3 linked regions of the Lonchura striata genome follow. The protein of the gene in region 2 interacts with the protein of the main gene of each other region in a biochemical or structural test. Links are inferred from orthologs where the notes say so. Each region holds a gene or a part of one and is shown on either strand. Other genes may lie near its edges.

Region 1 (8,472 bases), on a different chromosome or scaffold from region 2:
GCATTACATTGTTAATACTATGTTACTGTCCCTGTGGTGTATAATCTTCCTTTGCAATGCAAATTTTTTGGCCATTTTGCTGTTGTAAGTAAAACTTTTTTATATTTTTATGCATTCATTGATTAAGTTACAATACAGATGATGAAGTACAGGGTTTTTAAACTTGCCACAGAAGTTTTCAGTTTTGCTGAAGGCCACTTTCAGAGACAGTGCCACCATTTAAATTCTACCAAACATTCCTAATGTGCTGAATTGTCTCATTTCTAAACATGTGGCTATTTAAGTTTGAAAGAGACAGGGAAATTAAAACTGAGGGTAATGCTCTCATGCATTGTGTGTTGTTAAGATGTGTGTGGCTTGAAAACTCTTTTTCTCATGGATTATGGTCTGTAAAGCATGGTCCACAAATTTCATAGTCACCTAAAGAACAAATGAATAGGACTGTAAAGTATATTATCTCTAACATGCCAGCCAACTAGTATTACATATGTGTGCAGTGGATCTGAAATGACTGAATCTGACAGTGGACTTGAAATTACTGAATTTCAGATAGTGAAAATGTTCTTGCAAATTCTCTATACATCAAAGGTGTTGGTTACATTTTATGCCCATTGTAAATTAATTGAACAATGAAACACTGGCTTTACATTATTTGTTTTTCAGTTCACATACAGCAAAAGGACATTCGGTGTCCTTTGTGAGGTGACTTGACACTTAAAGGCCACAGCTTTCTCATCAGGCACTCCACAAGATGCCAATTAATCTGTGAAGACTTGTGTCTTGTTTATACTTCTTACTGGCTAGATATATGTTCTCCTGGAAAAGTAGGTCTAGAATCAATAAGGTCAGGGAGCTTACTTTGATTTTCAGTAGTAAAAGACAAGGCTACAAGTACTCAACTACTGTTCAGAGAATGAGAGGATTAAGAAAATCCTTAAAACCTTTTTTTTCTCAAGGAATTTCAGAAAGTATGTGAAGCCTGTAAACAGAGCACAAGACATTGATCTCAGATCTGGGCAGTCTTCCAGCAGAGTAAGTTAGTCTTGCTATTGGAATTGTTACACAGAGAAAGTGCAGGGCCATAGCTACAAAATTTTCTATAATTCTAAATGTCTTTGCTTCTATTGGCTTCTTAAAAGCCACATCATATTCTAGTGAGATAACAATCTCATTTAAAGCATCTCTAGGCAGGGCCTATTGATCTCATGCAGTACAGTACAAAGTCTTTTTAAAAAATGTTTTAATGTTACCTCCACTGAATAACCCATAAAGTCCTACTGCTAGATATTAAGCTGCTGTTCCCTGAAAAAGGAATCTGATTGCATATCATCTCCATGGTGTTGGTCCCATCACATTTACCTAATTACAAACCCTAGGATAATCATCAAAATATTAGTTGTCAGTGTAATTTTCTTTGCCTGTTTTTCATTACTGCGTGAGAACATACAACATAAATATGAGCTCAACCTTTAGACCCCTGCTGGTATAAATAAGTACAGCTCATCTGAAAGCAAAGACTGAAGTAAGACAATTCATCTCAAAATCCAGTCCTGTTTAGGTACTAAACACTAAAGAAAAGAAATCAAGTAATTCTGTATTCAAAGTATAAAAAGAGGGTAATGAACTCCTTGGACTACATTCTTTGGCCTTATAGTGACATTTTTTACACAACTCCTTAATTTTATAGTTTTAAAATAACATAGACATTTTAAATTAAAATTCTATTTTTCTTCTAGTTTAAAATAATATCTGTAATGCTAAGTTTCATTATTGTTATCATAGTCTTACTGTCCTTTAGAGTATAAAGTTTTACTGCTCTGCAGAACCCTAGAAGTAACTAAAAATGTTTGATAGCAAGTGTTTTGAGTAAATTTATCAAAAGATTTTAGAATTTATGTGACAATTCTGTAGTTAAAGGGCATATGGGCATCTGTGTGATATAAAATTGCAAAGTAAATAGGAAATTTATTTAACTTGTTATATTAATGCATTTCTCATTCAGGTATCTGAATGTCTCACTGTCAGAAGTGTAAAAGGTTAATAGATCATGCGTGTTTGTTGCACTGAACTACATAAATCCAAACTATAAAATCAGAATACATTCTTTGATGTTTATCTTACAACATAAACATGTTTTAATTAATTGCCTGTGCCTGTTCTAAAGAGTTGTGTTGCAAAATAACTGTGAAAATATTTGTGAAGTTGCTCAGGCAACTTGCCAGAACATATTATATGGTAAATCCATGATTTTGGGAAAATATTTGCTACATTAATGTAGAAATCCTATTCAAACTATGTTTGATCTTGTCTATATTTCCTTAATCATTAAGTTATTGTAAAACAAAATAAATATAAAATTAAGAGTCAATCAACTTTAATTCTGTATTTTAACTTCTTATACAGTTTGCAAAAGACTGTATTTTTTTAAAGTTTCACTGGTGTATTTAAAATATGCTTTAAAACTGATTAGAAATTTAAAAAATACCTAGTGTTTCCCTCTCATTGTTTATGTGATTAATTATTTAAATATCAGGATACGTTGTCTTTTTCTAGAATGAAGCAAAATGATTTAGCAAATGGGGTTTATGAAGCTCTCACTATTATGAATGGAAAAATAAACACTGAGTACTCTTACAAACTTCTTTGTACTGTATGTCAAATCTTATTCTGATGTAGAACAAAACAGACTGTAAAAAACTGCAACACTGATGTACAAAATATGTGAAGCTGTTTTAAGGAAACTAAGAAAGTGAATCGACAGTGAAACTGTTGATTTGTGCTCAATTTACAAATTGGCAAACTTATCCTGTCATGTTTTCATGTTCCCATTGCAGCTACATTTAAACAGCTGAACATTACGGTTAAAGCATGCAGCAGCACTTACCTTACTGCCTTGTAGCTGCTTTCCTTAATTCCCAGAGCAGATGCAATAAGAGGCTGTATCGACCAATATATGCTCTAAACAGTGTCAGGAGGTAAAAGTCTGCCAGATCCTCTGTGTTACAAGAGGGAAAAAAAAAGCCCTAGTCACGCTGTTCTCTGAAGCTGCTATGTCATCATGGTGATCTTGTGGTGTGGCATGTACAAAAATGCAGCTCTCTAATGAACTGCAGGTGGATACCATATTTTGTGCAAGGACAACCCATCAGTTTCTCCTGTGGGATCAGAGAATGATGTTTCACAAACCTGAGAAAGTTAAAAAGCCATAGGTTTATACAAGATTTTTTTTTTTATTTTAGAGAGAAAACGTGTTATTTTGTAAAATAAATTGCAAACAGGCTTTTGTTTTCCAACTTATTTTATACTGCTAGACATGAGCTAACACATAGCACTCAGACCTCAATGCTGCTGTTCTTCTTCAGCCAAGTGACTCATTCATTTTCTGCCTTTTTCTTTAACTGTCTTATGACCACAGTAAAATATCCTTAATGAAAACTTTAGCCTAAGGATCAGATTCAAAATTATCTTTGAATCATACCCTTTTCCACATTACATACTGAGTTCAAAGATTCTTCTACAAATCGGTGAAATTGATTTGGTCTGGAGATTTTCTTTGGTGGTTGAATGTGTGTTTGTTTAATAAAGATACATCCCAGGAATGGGTTTTGAGCAGTTACTGTAAATTCACTCCATACATTTGTTCATTTTGCACTTACAGTTTTCTCCTGCTTCTCAGTATCTGGAACTACTCAGCTTTATGTTGTCTGTTTCTTATTCCATGGATGTAGTTCAAGAATGCATCTTAATGCTTGGATGAGATGTTACTTTCACCAGGCTATGTAGAAAAATAATATATTCATAAAATAACAGTTTAAAGTGGAACTTAATGCTTCCATAAGAACTTTCCCTTATCTCTAAATGGAGGATGTCTTCCTTTTTATGAGAAACATAATTTTTTTTATAGATTTGGGTAGGGACAAATGTCAAATGTGCATATAGAAAGCATTCACAAGCCATTTTAAAGTGTCTTGTGTGTTTAATTGCATTTGACTGTAATTTCTGGGGTAGAAAGTCAGAGATTTTGTCCATTTTCAACTTATTATCTTTATGAAAAATGGTAGTACAGAATGTGTCTGGGCTGGAGAACCCTATCAGTTTGCTGAAGAGAAGCCTGAATATGAGCTTCTCCCAAAATTTGCTGCTGATGTGTCTCAGTCTCCAGAGCAGTGAAGGCTACTGGGAGCAGGGAAAAGCCAGTGTCCTTCACCAATAACAGGAAAGAGAACAAACACTTAAAGACCTCTGTGCTTCTGCAATGCCCCAATTAGCAAACAATTTGCTCAACACAGTGCAATGTTATGCTTTTGAAGTTCCCTGGTGTTAGAGAACCATTTACACTCTGGGAAACACGCTGGTGACAGATTGTTACTGCATTACTGCTTGATTGGTGCCAAAAAGTGAATGTGAAGCAGTGGGATTACAATAGTGAATTAATCTAAGTGAAAAACTGCATGGTATTAGGACTCGAAATGTAGAAGTGGACAAAGCTCCTGTTGTTCTGCATGTAGACAAATGGAGACCAGATGGGGTTTCTCATACACAGAATGATATTTATCTGAAAACTACTTCATTAGCTTTAGTTGACCAAGGAAACCTCAACTGTGACTTGACAGCAAATGTAGCAACAAGCAACACTTAGCAAGAGATCAGTTGGAATAAAAAAATATTTTTCATGCAGAAAGAGATAACCTTTAAGGTAATATCAATATTTGCTCTATGGAAGAATACATAACAAGGTGAGCAATGGAGCATAGTATTTGTAAAGAGAATTTAAAAATCACAGGAAAGACATTAATTGTGCTTTCTCTGACTATAGATTTGTTTAGAAGGAAAAGCCAAATATTATGATAAATTAATGTATATTTTGATCCCTCAGTAATAACTATAGTTTTGCATTTGCAGTACAAATAGAATTGAACATTGTCTGCAAGTACAAGATAATCCAGGCTTAATATGCTTTTGGCACAGTTGTATTTATGAACCAGTTTTTCTGTATATCAAGTATACATCCTTTTTCACACTCTGATAACAGAAATACAAAACATGCATATCTTTTTAGCTTACAAAACTTATTAAGCAAGCATATTTTGAAATTAACATAGTAAAAGCTTGGGTCACATAAAGTTCAGCTGAGACTTGTTCATTCATATAGTTCCTGTCTTGCTGACTGTTTTAAATTAACTATGGAAATTGCACAGTCAAGATGAAGAATCACATACCTTCTGAGGTTAAGATAAAAAACAATAGATTTTCTTTCCCTTTTAATAAGATTTTTATTGTCTCTCCAATCTGTATTTAATACTGCCCTTTGGCATAATTTTTATGCTTTTCCAAATCTTACTGTTCTAACTCATGGAGCTATCACCTCATAAACCTGTTTGGGAGAGCAGGTAGGTACTACAACCCAGCAAATAAAGGTATTGCTTCTTCTGCAACAGAGGGTGGGACTGTGGTTGGGTGATTTCTTTGTTTCTGGTCCTATTTTGTATTCTGTGCAGTAGTTCTTTTTGTAGCTCTCAGAAGTCATTAAACAGCATGTGAATGAAGTCTAGCTAATTTCCAAGGAATACACAAAATAATATATAAATTCACCTGTGTCATCGAAGTTGTAAACTGGTTATGAATATGCTTCATCCTGATGATGTCAGGACATATTAATATTTCATCTTTACAACTACTGTGTTGCAGTTTTTCTTCAAAATTTGTTTTCTTTTGTACCTTAATTATTCATCTTTCTCCGATGGGAAATATGATCAAAAGCTATTATAATCTAATTTTCTTTGACTTGTGATTATGAATAGAAATATTTCTTTTATGTAATACAAAGCTCCTTTGTGATTTTTTTTTTTTTTTTTTAATTCATATTTTCATGGCTGGAGATGCGCCAAGTCTAATGGGTTGTAATGAAAGAATCTGAAAGCAGGGCTCACTGCAAGTAAATTTGCACTGGCTGAGATCTAGCTGTCAAATATTGTCAAGTTACAGTGTCATCATTTTGTTTCTACACTCATCAGTGATACCCTCTCTTCTTTTTCTCTCTTGCAAAAATGCCTTCTTTATAGCTTCTTTGCACTTCTGCATAAATGGAAGTGCCTCACAATCAATTTGGATTTAATACCCTTTTCCCCAAAAGACTTAGGTTACCAAAGCTTAATAGATACTATCTAAACCAACTGATGTTTTATTTTCACCTTAAACCTGTGCACACATCTGGAACACAGAACCAAGAGAATTGGGTACCCAGTAGCAGGACTAAGGTATTATTGACATGGGAAGATAAAGCTCCAGAAAAATTCCTTGTGGAACTTTTCACACTGCCACATGAAATTAACAATGGTGGTTTTCCTCTGATCACTCAGAATTTAAATTAAATATTACTCTCAAGATTAAATGAAGGTTAGCTCATTTTATTTGGCTGCCCACAGCAGGGGTTAAGAAACCTCCATTAAGGGAAAAGGCTGTTCCATGGACACCATGCAGCAAGTCACTTAAAGAGGCAACATAATGTTTATATATGATGTTTTCTATGCCTCTAATTATACAGCCTGTTAGCCTACATATGGTGAATAAACAAAAATATGACATTGGCACATATCTCCAGGAACAATTAGTTAAGTATTTCTGTAAAACTCTGGAGCATTTTGAAAATATTACTGAAGACTGACTCATATTTAATGTGTTCTACTAAAAACAATTTAATTCCAGGTTCTGAAGGTTGTAGGTGCTTATTTTTTTCATCTGAAAACTTCCATTCTTCATCCTAATTGAATTTTTTTTTTTTCAGCCTCTACACTGGACTTACATGTTGAATGGAAAGTGTTAGAGCACATACTATAAGCATTACAAAATTTGTGGTGATCCAAATCCTTCTTTTCCTTTCTCCTAAAAAGGAAATACCAGCTACGGAAACTTACAAAAATGGTAACAGTGTTACAACCTATTAGCAGACCGCAACAGATATTTTAGTTAGCACAAATCCTTGTTTTTGTCCTTCTGAAAGACTGTTTTGCTTCAAAGCCGATAGTGTCTATATTCTAGTAGTGTTATTCTCCTCTCTGTTGCTTTTCAGACTGTTTTTGATTTGATTCAAATAGTCAACAGCAAAATTTCTTTGAGCTGATCCAAAGTTTGATCAAAACTTTTCTTTTTGATGAGGACTAAACATGAGGGCAAGAGTCTGTTTTTAAACCAGACTTCTTAATATATCCTGTAGGTTTTATCATAACATTTAAAATCTGCTGATCCATGTATAATAGAAAATTAGGTGGCCTTGGAGCATGAGACAATTCAAATGATTCCTAATGTAAAGAATCTAAGAGTATCTCAAGGAGCTGTTGAATTTGTGGGTACATTGTGGTTACAAGTAAAAATTTTAGCAACATGTCTGTATTTCTGTATTGTAAACAGTACAGATAATGAATGGAAAAGTTGGACTTGGTCAACTTAGTTTACCACCTATTATTTGTATATGCTAATGTTGTATTAACATACACTTCATTTGAAAATCATTGGATGCTAAACACCTTCCCAGAATCTAAGCATTATCAATGTCAGTTTGCATTCAGATCACTACAGCTTAAGGTCAGAAGAGATGTTAAAACATCTGGATTCTGCTGTACAACAATAATATAGCATTCGTCCTTCTGCTAGTTTATGTGACCTTGGAGTTAAACAGATCCCCTAAGTCATAATTCGTCTTTGCCATGACAGTGGGACAGTTTGGGAGCCACTTAATATGCAGCTTTTAAAAATACTTCCCACTGTCATTTCTAAAATGAAGCACCTTGGACAAATCCATGGCAATCATTGGCTACCTATTAGTATTTATTTTGAAATTAGCTGTCTTAGCTGTCACTTAGTTCATTACCTCCTGAATGCTGTGTGAGATTTTTACATTATTTTCCCTAGGACTGGTGGCAGATTAAGAACCTTGATGAAGAGACAGCACTTACCTATTTAAAATCCATGAACAGTAACACCACATCAGTGTTCTGGTATTCCCAGGTCCATAAAAATGGACTGTAAATGAACTAAACTATTATTAAATGTCTTCCTGAGATGTTTAAGTACAAACTATTATGACAGCCAAATCTAAAAGTATTTCTCATTATCAAATATTTTTGTTTTTTTTTTTTCTTTAGAAAGAACATGATATAATAAAAATACATCAGTCTGAACAAACAGATCTTTCCAAATGCAGCAAACAATGATTATTTTTATTCATACTCCATTGCTAACCATTGGCTTGTGTCTCTTTAGGTGTAGTAAAGACAGATATATCTACTATATATATGTACAGTAGTAGTAAATGATGTACTATTATAGATAACATTACTAGAATTTATTTTCCTCTAGAAAATCTGCATCTTCCAACTATCTTCTGTCATATTCATGTACAGGGATACTATTATTTAATTTGAACCTTTCTTTTTTTTCTTCATGTCTCATAATGTTTTTCCCTTCTACTTACAT
Region 2 (7,511 bases):
TTTTTTTCCCGATTTTTTGGGATTTTTTTCCTGATTTTTGAGTGATTTTTTTTCCTGATTGCTGATAAAAAAAAAATTGGGGAAAAAATCACTAAAAATCGGGAAAAAATAAAAAAAAATCAGAAAAAATCCCTAAAAAATCAGGAAATAATCCCTAAAAAATCAGGAAAAAAATCCCAAAAAATCGGGAAATATTTTGGGGGGATTTTCCCTGATTTTTATTTTTTCCCAATGTTTTTTGGGGGGGATTTTCCTGATTTTTGGGAGGATTTTTCCGGGTGAATTTTGGGGCAATTTTGGGCCTTTTAGGTCAAATTTTGGGGCTCCCGAGTGAAATTTTGGGGCATTTTTGGGCAATTTTGGAGTTTCTGGATGAAATTTTGGGGCTCCCGGGGGAATTTTGGGCATTTTTGGGGCAATTTTTGGCAATTTTGGACATTTTTGGGCAATTTTGGGCAATTTTTGGGCAATTTTGGGGTTCCCAGGAAAATTTTGGGGCATTTTTGAGCAATTTGGGGCATTTTTGGGCAATTTTTGGGCAATTTTGGGGATCTCGAGTGAATTTTGGGGTCCCGGGTGAATTTTGGGCAATTTTGGGGCATTTTTGGGCAATTTTGGGCAATTTTGGGCAATTTTGGGGACCTCGGGTGAATTTTGGGCCATTTTGGGACATTTTTGGGCAATTTTGGAGTTTCTGGATGAAATTTTGGGGTCCCGGGGAAATTTTGGGGCCATTTTTGGGCAATTTTGGGCAATTTTGGGGATCTTTGATGAATTTTGGGGTCCCGGGTGAATTTTGGGCAATTTTGGGGCATTTTTGAGCAATTTGGGGCAATTTTGGGCAATTTTGGGGATCCTGGGTGGATTTTGGGCATTTTTGGGCAATTTTGGGGATCTCGGGTGAATTTTGGGTGAATTTTGGGGCATTTTTGGGCAATTTGGGGCAATTTTGGGCAATTTTGGGGATCGTGGGTGAATTTTGGGCAATTTTTGGGCAATTTTGGGCAATTTTTGGGAAATTTTGGGAAATTTTGGGGCATTTCTGGGGATCCCGGGTGAATTTTGGGGTCCCAGGTCAATTTTGGGGCATTTTTGGGCAATTTGGGGCATTTTGGGCAATTTTGGGGCTCCCGGGTGAATTTTGGGCAATTTTGGGGCAATTTTGGGCAATTTTGGAGTTTCTGGATGAAATTTTGGGGTCCCGGGGGAATTTTGGGCCATTTTGGGGCAATTTTGAGCAATTTTTGGGCAAATTTGGGGCATTTCTGGGGATCCCGGGTGAATTTTGGGGTCCCGGGTGAATTTTGGGGCATTTTGGGGCATTTTTGGGGCTCCCGAATCCAATTCCGGGTCCCTCCCCCTCCCCCCCCCCCCCCCCCCGGCGTCATTTTCGGCTTTTTTGGGAATTTTTTTGGGGATAATTCTGGAAATTTTGGGCAATTTTGGGCGTGGCCGCCCCTCCCCCCCTCCCCTTCCCAAAATTTTTTAATTTTTGGGAAATTTTGGGGGAAGAAGCGGAAAATGGGGAGGGGGGGGAGGGGCGGCGGTGGCCACGTCTCGCCCCTCCCCCCCCCCGCGCGGATTTTTGGGATTTTTGGGGATTTTTTTGGGGGAAAAAACGGAAGTTTCGGCGCCTTCCCCCCAAAAAAACCCAAACCCCAAAAAAACCAAACCCAAAAAAACCCAAAAAACCCAAAAAAACCCAAAAAAAAGGGTGGGGGAGGGGCGAGAGGGAGACGTGGCGGGGGGGGGAGGGGCGGGCAAGGAAAAAGCCCCAAAATTTGGGGATTTTAACCCAAAATTTGGGGATTTTAACCCAAAATTTGGGGATTTTAACCCAAAATTTGGGGTTCTGAGCCGAAATTTGGGGATTTTACCCCAAAATTTGGGGGTCCCGATGAGAAATTTGGGGGTTCAGGGGGGAAATTTGGGGATTTTGACCCAAAATTTGGGGGTTTTTACCCAAAATTTGGGGATTTTAGCCCAAAATTTGGGGATCTTTGACCCAAAATTGGGGATTTCGACCCGAAATTTGGGGATTTCGACCCAAAATTTGGGGATTTTGACCAAAATTTGCGGATTTTTACCCAAAATTTGGGGGTCCCGAGCCGAAATTTGGAGTTTCCATCCCCAAAAAGTCGCGGAAATTTGGGGTGAAATCTCCGGATTTTGGGATTTTTGGGGGTAAAAATTCCAAATTTTGGGCAAAAAACGGAATTATTTGGGGTTTTTGGGGTGAAATCACCGGATTTTGGGTTTTTTGGGGTGAAAATTCTGGATTTTGGGTTTTTTGGGGTAAAACCAAAATAATTTGGGGTTTTTTTGGGGTGAAATCACAGGATTTTGGGTTTTTTTAGGTAAAACCGCCGGATTTTGGAAATTTTTGGGTTAAAATCGTGGGATTTTGGAATTTTTTGGGGTAAAATCACCGGATTTGGGGATTTTTTGGGTATAACCTTGGAATTTTGGGGTAAAACCGCCGGATTTTGGGGGTTTTTTTTGGGTTAAAATCGCCGGATTTTGGGTTAAACCCGCCGGATTTTGGTTTTTTTTTGGTTTAAAATCACCGGATTTTCGGGGGTTTTTTTGGGTTAAAATCGCCGGATTTGGGGATTTTTGGGTTAAAATCACCGGATTTTCGGTGGTTTTGGGGTTAAAATAGCGGAATTTTGGGTTTTTTTGGGTTAAAACCGCGGATTTGGTTTTTTTTGGGTTAAAACCGCCGGATTTTGGGGGTTTTTGGGTTAAAAGCACCGAATTTTGGGGATTTTTGGGTTAAAACCGCCGGATTTTTGGGATTTTTGGGTTAAAAACACCGAATTTTGGGGATTTTGGGGTTAAAATCGCTGGATTTGGGGATTTTTTTCGGGGGCAAAACCGCCGGATTTTGGAGTTTTTTTGGGTTAAAATCGCCGGATTTTGGAGTTTCTTGGGGTAACCCGCCGGAATTTGGGGTAAAATCCCTCGATTTTGGGTTTTTTTGGGGGTAAAAGCACCGGATTTTTGGGTTTTTTGGGGTAAAAACACCGGATTTTCGGTGTTTTTTGGGGTAAAAACACCGGATTTTCGGTGTTTTTTGGGATAAAATCACCGGATTTTCGGTGTTTTTTGGGGTAAAATCACCGGATTTTCGGTGTTTTTTGGGGTAAAATCACCGGATTTTTGGGGTTTTTTGGGGATAAAATCACCGGATTTTGGGTTTTTTTGGGGTAAAATCACCGGATTTTCGGTGTTTTTTGGGGTAAAATCACCGGATTTTTGGGGTTTTTTGGGGTAAAATCACCGGATTTTGGGTTTTTTTGGGGGGGTCCCGGGGGGGGGGTCTCACCTCGGGCGAGAAGCGGGGCTGGGGGTCGGCGGGGGGGGGGAGGACCCCCCAAAAAATCAGGAGCGCCAGGAGCATCTCCGGGAGCGGCGCTGCGATTGGGGAGGGGGAAAAAAAAGGGAAAAAAAAAAAAATCCCAAAAAAAAAAAAAAAAATCGGGGGTGGGGGGAGGGGCTTGGGGTGGGGGAGGGGCCAGCAGGGAAAAAAAAAAACCAAAAAAAACCCGATTTTTGGGTTTTTTTTGGGGTTTTTTTGGGGGGTTTTTGGGGTTTTTTTTTGGGAAAAAGGTGAGCGCCCCCTGGCGGGCGGGAGGAGCAAAGGGGCGCCCCCAAATTTTTTGGGGTTTTTTTTTTTGGGGTTTTTTTTTTTTTTGGGGGGGGTGGGGGAGGGGCAGGATGTGGTCAGCCCCTCCCCCACCCCCCCCCCCACCGGGGTCAGCTGACTGGCGGTGACGTCATCGCGGGGGGGGTGGGGGGGGCGGAGGAGTTTTTTTATTTTTTGGGGAATTTTTGGAAGGGGGAGGGGAGTGGTTTCGGATGGGGTTTTTTTTGGGAATTTTGGGTTTGTTTTTTTTTTTTTGGGATGGATTTTGGCGGGAATCCTGGATGAATTTTTTGGGAATTTGGGGCAGTTTTTTTTGTTTTTTTTTTTTGGGGGGGGGGGGGGGGGCTCCCGGCAGAATTTTGGGGAATGCTTTTGGGGGGAGATTTTTGGGAATTTCCAGGCCCCTCCCGGAGTTGTTTTTAGGGTTCCTTTGTGCCGCTAATTAAGAGCTGGGGGCGTGGCCGCGCTAATTAAAGCCAGGAATGGGCGGGGCTCGTTGCCCTTTTAAGACGGCGTTGCCCTTTTAAGGCGCCATTGCCCTTTTAAGAAGCCGTTGCCCCTTTAAGAAGCCGTTGCCCCTTTAAGAAGTCGTTGCCCTTTTAAGAAGCCGTTGCCCCTTTAAGAAGCCGTTGCCCCTTTAAGAAGCCATTGCCCTTTTAAGAAGACGTTGCCCCTTTAAGAAGCCGTTGCCCTTTTAAGAAGACGTTGCCCCTTTAAGTGGGCGTTGCCCCTTTAAGAAGCCGTTGCCCCTTTAAGAAGCCGTTGCCCTTTTAAGAAGCCGTTGCCCCTTTAAGAAGCCGTTGCCCCTTTAAGAAGCCGTTGCCCCTTTAAGAAGCCGTTGCCCTTTTAAGAAGACGTTGCCCCTTTAAGAGGGCGTTGCCCCTTTAAGGCCGAGCCTGGTGGGCCCCACCTTAAAGGTTTAAAGGCTCCGCCCCCTCCCAGTTTGGTCCCAGTCCATTCCAGTTCATCCCAGTTCATCCCAGTCCATCCCAGTCCCCTCCCAGTCCATCCCAGTTCATCCCAGTCCATCCCAGTCCCCTCCCAGTCCATCCCAGTCCATCCCAGTCCATTCCAGTTCATCCCAGTCCATCCCAGTCCCCTCCCAGTCCATCCCAGTTCATCCCAGTCCATCCCAGTCCATCCCAGTCCATCCCAGTCCATCCCAGTCCATCCCAGTCCTCCCCTCCCTGTACTGGTTTGTACTGGGAACCTTTGAGGCCCAGGGAGTTACTGGGATGAACTGGGAGTCGCTGGTTTGAACTGGGAAGGCACTGGGGCATACTGGGAGTTACTGGGAGGGTACTGGGATAAACTGGGATGAACTGGGAGGGCACTGGGCCATACTGGGAGTTACTGGGAGGGCACTGGGATAAACTGGGATGAACTGGGAGGGCACTGGTTTGAACTGGGAGGGCACTGGGCCATACTGGGAGTTACTGGGAGGGCACTGGGATAAACTGGGATGAACTGGGAGGGCACTGGGATAAACTGGGAGTCACTGGGCCGGCTTTGCCCCGCCTCTCGCTTCCCATTGGTCGACGTCTCTCATTTCCGCGCTCCTATTGGTCATCCCCGCTGTCACTCACCCATCAACCCCGCTTCCCCGCTGTTTCCCGCCCCGCGCTCCCATTGGCTCGCTGTTTCCCGCCCCGCGCTCCCATTGGCTCGCTGTTTCCCGCCCCGCGCTCCCATTGGCTGGCGCGGCGCGGGGGGCGTGTCCAGGCGCGGCTCGGCGGGAAGCCCGTAAGGGGAAGCGGCGGGGGGGGGGCGGAAATTTGGGGCAAAATTGGGCAAAAACGGGGCCGGGGAGGCCGGGGAGGAGCCGGGAAAGGCTCGCGAGGGCTCCCGGGAGGAATTTTGGGGTGGTTTAGGGCCAATCCCTGCGGTTCCGGGGCTTTTCTGAGCCAAAAACGGGAGGTGAGGGGGGACGCCGCGGACCCTGAGGGGATTGGGGGATCTTGAGGGGATTTTGGGGATCCTGAGGGGATTTGGGGGATTTTGAGGGGATTTGGGGGATCCCTGAGGGGGATTTGGGGGATCCCTGAGGGGATTTGGGGGATTTTGAGGGAATTTGGGGTGTTCTGAGGGGATTTGGGGTGTCCTGAGGGGATTTGGGGGATCCTGAGGGGATTTTGGGGATTTTGAGGGAATTTGGGGGATCCTGAGGGGATTTGGGGGATCCCTGAGGGAATTTGGGGGATCCTGAGGGGAATTTGGGGGATTTTGAGGGAATTTGGGGGATCCCTGAGGGGATTTGGGGATCTTGAGGGGATTTGGGGGATTTTGAGGGGATTTTGGGGGATCCTGAGGGGATTTTGGGGATTTTGAGGGGATTTTGGGGATTTTAAGGGGATTTTGGGGATCCCTGAGGGGATTTTGGGGATCCCTGAGGGGATTTGGGGATCCTGAGGGGGATTTGGGGGATCCTGAGGGGATTTGGGGGATTTTGAGGGGATTTGGGGGATCCTGAGAGGATTTGGGGGATCTTGAGGGGATTTGGGGGATTTTAAGGGGATTTGGGGGATTTTGAGGGGATTTGGGGGATCCTGAGAGGATTTGGGGGATTTTGAGGGGATTTTGGGGATTTTGAGGGGATTTTGGGGATTTTAAGGGGATTTTGGGGGATCCCTGAGGGGATTTTGGGGATTTTAAGGGGATTTTGGGGGATTTTGAGGGGATTTGGGGGATTTTGAGAGGATTTGGGGGATCCTGAGGGGATTTGGGGGATTTTGAGGGGATTTGGGGGATCCTGAGGGGATTTGGGGGATCCCTGAGGGAATTTGGGGATTTTGAGGGGATTTTGGGGATTTTAAGGGGATTTGGGGGATCCCTGAGGGAATTTGGGGGATCCCTGAGGGGATTTTGGGGATCCCTGAGGGAATTTGGGGGATTTTGAGGGGATTTGGGGGATCCTGAGGGGATTTGGGGGATCCTGAGGGGGATTTGGGGGATTTTGAGAGGATTTGGGGGATCCTGAGGGGATTTGGGGGATTTTGAGGGGATTTGGGGGATCCTGAGGGAATTTTGGGGATCCTGAGGGGGATTTTGGGGATCCTGAGGGATATTTGGGTGATCCTGAGGGAATTTGGGGTCCTTGATTGAATTTTGGGGTTCCCTAATTACATTTTGTGGTCCCTGATTAAAATTTGGGGGATCCCTGAGTGAATTTTGGGTGTCCCTAATTAAATTTTGTGGTCCCTGATTAAAATTTGGGGGATCCCTGAGTGAATTTTGGGGTTCCCTAATTAAATTTTGGGGTTCCCTGATTAAAATTTGGGGGATCCCTGAGTGAATTTTGGGGTTCCCTAATTAAATTTTGTGGTCCCTGATTAAAATTTGGGGGATCCCTGAGTGAATTTTGGGGTTCCCTAATTAAATTTTGGGTGTCCCTGATTAAAATTTGGGGGATCCCTGAGTGAATTTTGGGGTTCCCTAATTAAATTTTGGGTGTCCCTAATTAAACCTTGGGTGTCCCTAATTAAAATTTGGGTGTCCCTAATTAAAGTTTGGGTGTCCCTAATTAAATATTGGGTGAAGTTTGGGGTTCCCTGATTAAACTTTGGGCTCCCTAATTAAATTTTGGGTGTCCCCAATTAACTTTTGGGCTTCCTAATTAAATGTTGGGTTCCCTGATTGAATTTTAGGAATTTATAATTAAACTTTGTGCTCTCTAATTAAATATTGGGTGTCCCTAATTAAATTGTGGACTCCCTAATTGAATTTTGGGTTAATTTTGGGGTTCCCTGATAAAACTTTGGGTGTCCTTAATTAAACTTTGGGTGTCCCTAATTAAACTTCCTGTGTCCCTAATTAAATGTTGGGTTCTCTAGTTAAAATTTAAAATTTAAAATATAAATTTAAT
Region 3 (8,158 bases), on a different chromosome or scaffold from region 2:
TCCCACCTGGCTGAGAAGGGCCGGGGCATGGAGCTCTCAGAGCTTGTGGTTTTCAATGGGAAGCTGTACGCAGTGGATGACCGGACAGGTGTGGTCTACCAGATCGAGGGCAATAAGGTGGTGCCTTGGGTGATCCTCCCAGATGGGGACGGCACTGTGGGCAAAGGTGAGCTCCCATTCTGCCCTGTGAAGCCCTTGGCTCTTTTCACCTGCTGGGGTGGGGCACACCTTTCCTGTGACCTCTGAGCCTGGCCAAGAGAGGGCATTTCCTGCCAAGCAACCAGCTGGCTATGTGGGGGACACTGTGCCCGGCACTGGGCTCAGGGGTGTGGGGTTTGAGGCATGTGGGACAGTCTGATGGTTACGTGCTGACTGAGCCACCTCATGCCATTCTTTCCACCACAGGCTTCAAGGCAGAGTGGCTGGCAGTGAAGGATGAGCACCTGTATGTAGGAGGACTGGGCAAGGAGTGGACCACCACCACAGGGGAAGTGGTGAATGAGAACCCCCAGTGGGTGAAGGTCATTGGCTACAAGGGTGATGTGAGCCACGAGAACTGGGTGACAAACTACAACACACTGAGGGCTGCAGCGGGGATCCGGCCCCCAGGTATGGAGTAGGGCAACCTCCTGCCACCCAATATCCCACACTCTTGATGGCTCCAGAGCCATACAGTCACCCTTCCCAGGGATGCTGGCACTGGGTGAGATTTAGAGGCTGCCAGAGGCCAGAGATCTCACCTTGTCGTGGTCGTTTTCCTCTGCTGCCTGTGCCAGGAGTATCTGAAGGGTGGCTCAGTTGTCATTGGGCCTGGCAGCTGGGCTCCCAGGCAGACTGGGATGTGCTGTGTGGCCCTGCCTGACTCTGGGAGGAACTGGGGAGCTGCTGCCAGGCAGTGGGGCAGGAGCAGGCAAAAAAGTTCATAGGGGATACCTGTGCGGGGCTGTGGGGTGTTTTGGAAGGGAAGGAGGAGAGGAGGGGGAGGGTCCCATCCTGGCGTGGCTGTGCCCCTGTGGTCTGTGTGGTCAGACTCCGCTTCCTGCCGCAGGGTACCTGATCCACGAGTCGGCCTCCTGGAGTGACACGTTGCAGCGCTGGTTCTTCCTGCCGCGCCGCGCCAGCCACGAGCGCTACAGCGAGAAGGCGGACGAGCAGCGAGGCACCAACCTGCTGCTCAGCTCCACCCAGGATTTCGGGGATGTGACAGTGGGGCGCGTGGGCGATGTGGTTCCCACCCATGGCTTCTCCTCCTTCAAGTTCATCCCGGACACGGACGACCAGATCATCGTGGCACTAAAATCTGAAGAGGACAATGGCAAGATCTCCAGCTACATCATGGCCTTCACACTGGATGGGCGCTTCCTCCTGCCTGAGACCAGGATTGGGAGCGTGAAGTACGAGGGCATTGAGTTTATTTAACAGACATCTGCAGCGAGTGGAGGCATGCGGGCAGCTTAGGGACATGGGCAGGCCCTGCAAGCCTGCTTCTAGCCCGGGGTCCATGAGGGATGTCAGGCAGTGCTCCCAGCTGTGTCCTTGGCCCTGGGCTCTCCTGTAAAGTGTTGACTGAGCTGCAGCAGGTGTGGTGCAAGTGTTTCGGCAGTGGCACCTGGTGGCAATGGACCGCCACCACAGGGTGCTCCCGGCCCCGAGACAGTGTCAGGTCCTGGAGTGCTGGTGCCTAGACAGGCCCCACTGCAGCCCTTAGTGCCCTGCCCTGAATTGCGACAGAGCCATCTGCAGTGGGTCGGTGGCTCTGGTGACGTCCCTGTTCTGGGATTGCAGCTGAGCCCCAACTCTACAGCTGTGCCTTGTGTGCCATGGGGCTCCCTGGGTGGAGGGGGATGTGCAGCCTGAGCAGGTCAGATTGTGGGGATTTCATCAGGCTTTTACTTCAGAAGCTGGATTTCCTTCCCTTTTCCCATAAGCTGGATGAGGTGATGGCTGGGGTGGCGGGTGGCCTGTTTCAGAGAAAAGTCCTGCATGGGAGGGGGTATTGTCTGTGTCCCTTTGCTCCTGTGACCACGGAGGAGGCAGCAGTTCCCTCACCACTGTGGCTGTGCCTAAGGGGCAGGGGATGATGTAAAGTGGGCCCACCCTGGCGCCATTCCCAGACCACACCCTCAAGAGGTGTGTGTGCGTGCTGGCTGTCTTCTCCGAGGCCTGGCTGCACGTGGCTCCAGCCCCAGAAATGCTTCCCGCCCCGGAACTGTCAGCTCTGGGAAGAGCTGAGCCCTGGGCAGGAACTGCTGGGAGCTGGCGACAGTGCAGCCATGCTGTCCAAGGGCTGCTGTGCTCGATGCAGGAGCAGAGGCAGGAGCTGCAGTTCTGCTTGCCAGAGCTGGCAGCAGCTGAGAAGCACTCGCAGCAGCCCAGGGCTTTGGCCAGGGAGCCCTCCCCATGCTCGCCAGCATGTTGTGAAATTGCTGCCGTAGCCTGTGGCCCCCAGGAGGAACTTGTGTTGTTTCAGAAGCCACAAGTGTCAAAGGGGCATCTGCTAGCCCCAGGACCCTTCTGACCCCTCTGACCAAGGAGGCTGTGGCTCCTGGCCTGCCCACACTGACCTGGCTCAGGTCTGCCCTGCCCCAGGTCACAGGGCAGCATATCCTCACACCAGGACCAGTGTTTGGCTCTGTTGTGTCCCCACTTTGTTTCTTTTTAACACTGCCCCTAGGGCAGGTCTGCCAGCAAGTAGGGCTTCAGAGAGCTGGCCACTATGGTTTGGGGGGCCCTTGTGCCCCCTGTATCGCTCTGCCATGCCCGGGCACTGCTCTGCTGTGGGGTCCAGCCATGCACAGGGAGGGAGAGGGGCTGTCGGTGCAGCAGTCAGGCTGTGGTTGGGTGGAGGAATCCGCAGAGTGGTTGGGGCCCTCCCAAGAACCCAGCCAGGCTGTTCCCCCCAGCCCTGTTTACAGTGTCAGCACCTCTGTGAGCCGTGCAAGCCAGACATGTGTTTTCATTTAGCCCAGACGATGACTCGGCCAGTGCTGGGCTGCACTTGTCTCTAGACAGGACCTGTCCCCAGTGCTGCAGACAGGCCTGGCTTTGGCCCCTGCACATGGCCTGGGGATCGTGGAGCACCTGGCCCAGAGCACCCAGGATGCATTTGCAGCTCACACTGGGCGCCAGCTGGCCACAGTCCATGATGCCACTCAAGCGTCACTGGCACTTGGCTTGGCAGTCTCTCCTGGCCTCACTCACCCTCCTCAGCAGCACCAACAGCTCCACAGCACCTGCTGTGATCCCAGGGCTGTGCCAGTGGCTGTCCCTGCTACTTGGTCCCTTCTTGTCCCCCGGGCCCCTGCCCGGAGCACTGCACTACCCTCAGAGCAGCAGCACCAATGCCTCAGGCAGCTGAGCCAGCAGGAGTCCTGCTGCTGCTAGGACCTCTGCAGACCATGAGCCCCACAGAGGAGTTGGCAACCTGGGTCCCCATCTCCAGGTGTCATCCAGCATCCCAGCACTGTGAGTGCTGTCAGCTCCCATGTGTTCCCTGCAGGCTCAGGCAGGGTTTGGGTCAGGTCCAGCTGCCCTGTTCTGCTGTTTCTTCTCATCCTAGAGGCTGAGCACCTCTATTATCTCCCTCTACTGCATGGCATGGCAGTGCTGTGGCAAGAGGCTGGCTCAGGAGCATATTTTGTGGCCATGGTGGTGTCTGTCCTGCCAACATATGCCCTTGCCTAGCTGTGCTTGAATGCTTGTGTCCCTGCCTGCTCCTCTAGGACAAAGGCAGTGCTGGTGAGATGGAGCACTCTCAGCAGCCAGCCAGGCACAGAGTACAGTGACAGCAGCAGCATCCTGACACCTCCACAGTGACACAGTGAGTGGGTTTGGACTGGGGTAGTCCGTTTTTCCATATTAGATGTGTAATATGGTGTAGGACAGTGTTTTGGATTTGTGTTTGGAACAGGGTTGATAACAGCAATGTTTTCATTACTGCTGAGCAGCATTTTCACAGCTTGAGGCCTTGTTCTGCTCTTCATCCCAGCAGTGAGGGGCCGGTGGGGGGCACAAAGAGTCGAGAGGGGACACAGAAGAGCTGACCCAAAGGCTATTCCACACTGTATGGAATCATACTTGGCATATAAAGCTGGGGGAAGAAGGAGGGAAAGGGGGACATTTGGAGTGGTGGTGTTTGTCTTCCCAAATCACCATCACATGCTGGAGCCCAGCTGCCCTGGGGATGGCTCAGCACCTGCCTGCCCTGGGGAGGGGTGAAAGAATTCCCTGCTTTGCTTTGCTTATGTGTGGCTTTTGCTTCACTTTTATCTCAGCCAGCAGTTTTCTCACTTTCCCCTTCCCAGTTCTCTCACTACCCCGCTGGGAAGAACGAACCAAAAGCAGCTGGGGGCTGAGCTGCCCGCTGGGGTTAAACCCCATCATGCATCCAGGATAGAGACAAGGTGGGTTTTTGGAGCTGTGCTCCAGGGCAGGAGCTGCTGCCATGGAGAGAGGCCCGAGGCCTGGGGCAGGTCGCTGTGGCACAGGACCCCCAGTGGAAGCAGGCAGGGGAACTCGGGTGTGGGATAAGCTAGGGTGGAGGGGCCGAAGGTGGGGAGGAATTCTCGTGCACAGCCAGAACTGATGCCTGTCCGACCGTCAGTTGGTCGGACACTGCTCTACTACGGGCGGGGGTCCGGGGCGGCGGGTCCAGGAGCGATGGAGCCGGGGGCTGGCGGGATGCGCCGGGGCGGGGGCGGCCGGTGCCCGCGGCGGGGGCCGTGCCGGGGCGGGAGCAGCGGTAGCGGCGAAGCCGCATCCCGCGGAGGGCGGGCGCAGCCGGGCTGGCCCCGCGCCACGCGGAGGAGGAGCAGCAGATCCCCGGAGCACGTTAAAGAGGGAGGCCGAGCGCGGCGGGGAGGAAGCGAACGGCTCCGGGAAGGCAACGGAGCGGCGGCCGCAGAGCGCCCGCCCCGGCCGGACCCAAGTTCCCGGCGGCGGCTCGGCCGGGCCCGGCGGTGGGTGCGGGATCGGGGCCGGGTGGCCGCGCCCGCAGCCCCGCACCATGCCCGCCGCGCTGCCCAGCCTGCTGGCCTGGCTGGCGGTGTTGCTGCTCGGCAGGGCCCGCCCGGCCGACGCCTGCAGCTGCTCGCCCATCCACCCGCAACAGGCCTTCTGCAACGCCGACGTAGGTGAGCGCCGCGGGGAACCCCGCCCCGAGCCCCCCGAGCCCCCCCGGCCCCGCCCGCGCCAACTTCGCGGCGGGGGAAGGACCGGAAAGTTGGCGCGGGGCGGGCGGGGAGCGGGCAGAGCCCCCCGGCCCCCGCCCGCGGCGCCCGCCGGCCCGGGGGTGTGTCGGCGGGTGCAGATGCGCGGCCGGGCGCGGTCCCTCCGTGCGGGCCATGCCCGTCCCACCCCGCACCGCCTCCCGCCGTCTCGGGGGGCCTCCCGCGCCCGGCATTGCTCCCGGGGGCGCCTCCGACGCTGCGAGGGGCGACCGGAGCGCGGCTACGCCGGGGCCGCGTCCCCACTGGTCGCTCTCCGGTGAATGACACGGGTGGGCCCGGCCTCCCCCGACTCTGATGACCCAGCGAGGTACGTGGCAGCGCGGGGTTGGGGCCCGGGGGCGACCGGGACCCTCCGAGTGCGGCCACGGCACCGGCCCGGGGCCCGGAGGAGCCCCTGTCCCTGGCAGCTGCCGCCACGGCTCGGTCACCCCTGTCTGTGCCTTACTTCCAGGCATTTCCTTTCCCCCGTCCCACTTTGTTCGGCTTGGATGCTGCTAAAAGGGAGGGCTTGGCAGCGCCGGGGTCTGGATTCCTCTTTCTATGAATAATGCCCTTATTAAATTTTAACATATGAACTGAACAGGCCGGCCCCAGTTCCCAGCACTTCCCTTCGCGGGCCCGTTCCCAGGCTCAGCTGGAGAGGTAACATTCCCAAACACTGAGGCAGCCCCAGCCTCTGGATGGCCCTGCCCTGTCCCCTGCTCCAGATCCAGGATGTTCCTCACAGGCGTCCTTTCCAGACCCCACTCCCAGCGTCTTTCCTCCGTGAGGGCAACTCCCACAGCATTTGGCTGCTGCCTCGGGTGCCCTGCCTCGCCACAAGGCGTGTTGGGGACAGGAAGGTTTTGAGACAAAATGGAGCGCTGGGTTTTTGTAGCTGCTGCTGGAGCTGGTGTCCCTAGCCCACAGGATGTCTTGTGCCTGCTCGGGCAGTGCGGCTGTGGCTTCCCATCACGCTCCTGTCAGGATCAGTTTTCGGGGCACTCGTGACTCACTGCCCGTCGTGGGGTGCCGGCTCAGCCCTGACTCAACTGCTGAGTCACTGTCTGTCTCGGCGGTCCTGGCTGTCTGCACCGTCCCCCGGGAGGGCACTGCCTCGCTGAGCTTTGATCTCCAGCTGCCCTGCTGCCCTCAACAGGTGCCCGTCCTGCAGGCACCCGGAGCCTGTCCTGCCGAGGCAGCGTCCTCCCAGGCGCGCTGCCAGCAGCGCTGGCACCTTCTGGCTGCCAGCCCAAGTCACTTGTGCAGCTTCACGTCGGCCTGAGTGAAAACAGTGCTGGGCTTGGGGACATATCAGGGGATGGTCCTGTGTGCCCTGGCCTTTTGCTGCTGCTTATCTTCCTCCTGGATGCTCTCTGGAGTTGGGATGTTCCTCAGCCAGTTCCATTCCAGCAGATGTGTGGAGCCTAGGAGAACCTGGGCCCCTGGTACTGCTAGGACCTTTTGCAGCTGCTGTGGCTGGACAGACTTGTGTCCAGGTTGGGCCCTTGCTAGAAATGTGGTGGTGTGGGGATGGCTGATGTCCTGCAGTGCTGGGTGGGTACACCAAAAGTGAATGGGCCCCAAGGCTTATGCTCAACCCTCAGTATGGGGTATCATGCTGAGCACAGTGTGGGGTCCTGGGATCTCCTCTCCATAGCATGGGCAGCACCTGCCTCATCCCCGTGACCCCTCTGGCCTTGCACCTGCCCCTGCACTTGGTCTGTCATGCAGGGGCTGGAGCAGCCCCACAGCCCAGGGCTGCACTTCCAGGTGGTGCAAGGGGAGGTAGATGTAGCTCTGCATTGGGTGGGTGGCACCTGAGGGGCTGGGGGTCATAGAGGGGCTGGGGTTGTGTCACTGGGGCGGGTGATTTAGAACCTGCCAGCCTGTGCTTGCATGTCCTAGCTCATGAGATGACCAGGGCTTTTCTGCAGGGCCCAAGGACTTGGGGCTGCCCCATCCACCATCCCTCACTGGGGCTGTGCCCAGGCTCTCTTGGGCTGCTTTGCTGCAGGAGATGCTCAGCTGCCCGGTTGTGCTACAGCAGGAAACCCAGCTCCTGCTCCATCTCTTCTGGAGCAGCGTGGGGATGTGGGGTGTGAGAGGGGGATGCTGAGCCCTTCTAGGCAAAGCTGTGGCTTTGCCCCTGCGAGGCAGCAGGCAGAGGATGGGGCCAGGAGAGAGCGGGGCTCGGTGCAGCCTGGGCTGGGGACAGCTGGATTGCACTGATCCCAGTCGTCCCTGTGCTCGGTTCCTCGGGACGGGCACGGTGAGTGTGGGGGCTGCCAGCAGCCAGCAGGGACCGGCCAGAGGAGGGGATTTGCAGGGCCGTGGTGGGAGCTGTCCCCGCGGGGGTGCAGCTGCCTGCAAACCCCGCCGAGCCTGGCGGGGCCGGTGCCCGTGCCCGGTGCCCGGTGCCGGTGCCCGGTGCCGGTGCCCGGTGCCCGGTGCCGGTGCCGGTGCCCGTGCCCGGTGCCCGTGCCCGGTGCCGCCCTGCCGAGCGCTGGCGCGGAGGGGCCGTGGGCCGAGGCGGGGGCTGCCGCTGATTGGGCTCCATCAGCTCCCGTCAGCGGCCGGGATGACGCACGCGGCCACGGCGGCGCTCGGCCCGCGGCTCCCGCGCAGCCCGGCGGGGAGCGGGACCTGCTGCCCGCGCTGCCTCTCGCCGCCCCGCAGGCACTGCCGGCCACCAGGGAGTCTCCACGGCCTTCGCTTCCTCCTCGCTGCCGGGCTGCGCTGCTCAGCCCTGCACGCCTCCAGCCTCAGCATCCTCACACCACTGTGCCGGGGCGGGGTGCCAGCCGCGGCGGCCGCTGGCGGGCGGGCGGGCACTGGGATGCCAGCAAACACCTGGGAGGTGGCTGTTGCCCTTGCGCCGGTCAGGGCTGGGTGCAGGAATCCCTCCCAGGGTGGTTAGCTGTCTCCCCATCTCCACTGGCCTCAAGCAG

The links.
Region 1: the proteins of MMP14 (region 2) and LUM interact in a biophysical measurement, tested with the Homo sapiens proteins (2 studies listed by BioGRID and IntAct, with this or other methods). The link is inferred for Lonchura striata from reciprocal best matches to the Homo sapiens genes MMP14 and LUM.
Region 3: the proteins of MMP14 (region 2) and TIMP2 form a complex in vitro, tested with the Homo sapiens proteins (2 studies listed by BioGRID). The link is inferred for Lonchura striata from reciprocal best matches to the Homo sapiens genes MMP14 and TIMP2.

The regions. Positions count from the first base shown.
Region 1 is NC_134607.1:52,799,108-52,807,579, forward strand, and holds the start of LUM (lumican), read right to left. Parts: upstream 3,074-8,472; 5' UTR 2,885-3,073; intron 1-2,884.
Region 2 is NC_134641.1:804,852-812,362, forward strand, and holds the start of MMP14 (matrix metalloproteinase-14), read right to left. Parts: upstream 3,453-7,511; 5' UTR 3,404-3,452; coding exon 3,329-3,403; intron 1-3,328.
Region 3 is NC_134621.1:11,747,781-11,755,938, forward strand, and holds the start of TIMP2 (metalloproteinase inhibitor 2), read left to right. Parts: upstream 1-4,816; 5' UTR 4,817-5,005; coding exon 5,006-5,132; intron 5,133-5,357; exon of another isoform or gene 5,358-5,522; coding exon of another isoform or gene 5,523-5,535; intron 5,536-8,158. Other genes in the region: CANT1 (soluble calcium-activated nucleotidase 1), read left to right, coding at 1-166, 406-609, 1,049-1,419. UniProt on the Homo sapiens protein: Complexes with metalloproteinases (such as collagenases) and irreversibly inactivates them by binding to their catalytic zinc cofactor. Known to act on MMP-1, MMP-2, MMP-3, MMP-7, MMP-8, MMP-9, MMP-10, MMP-13, MMP-14, MMP-15, MMP-16 and MMP-19.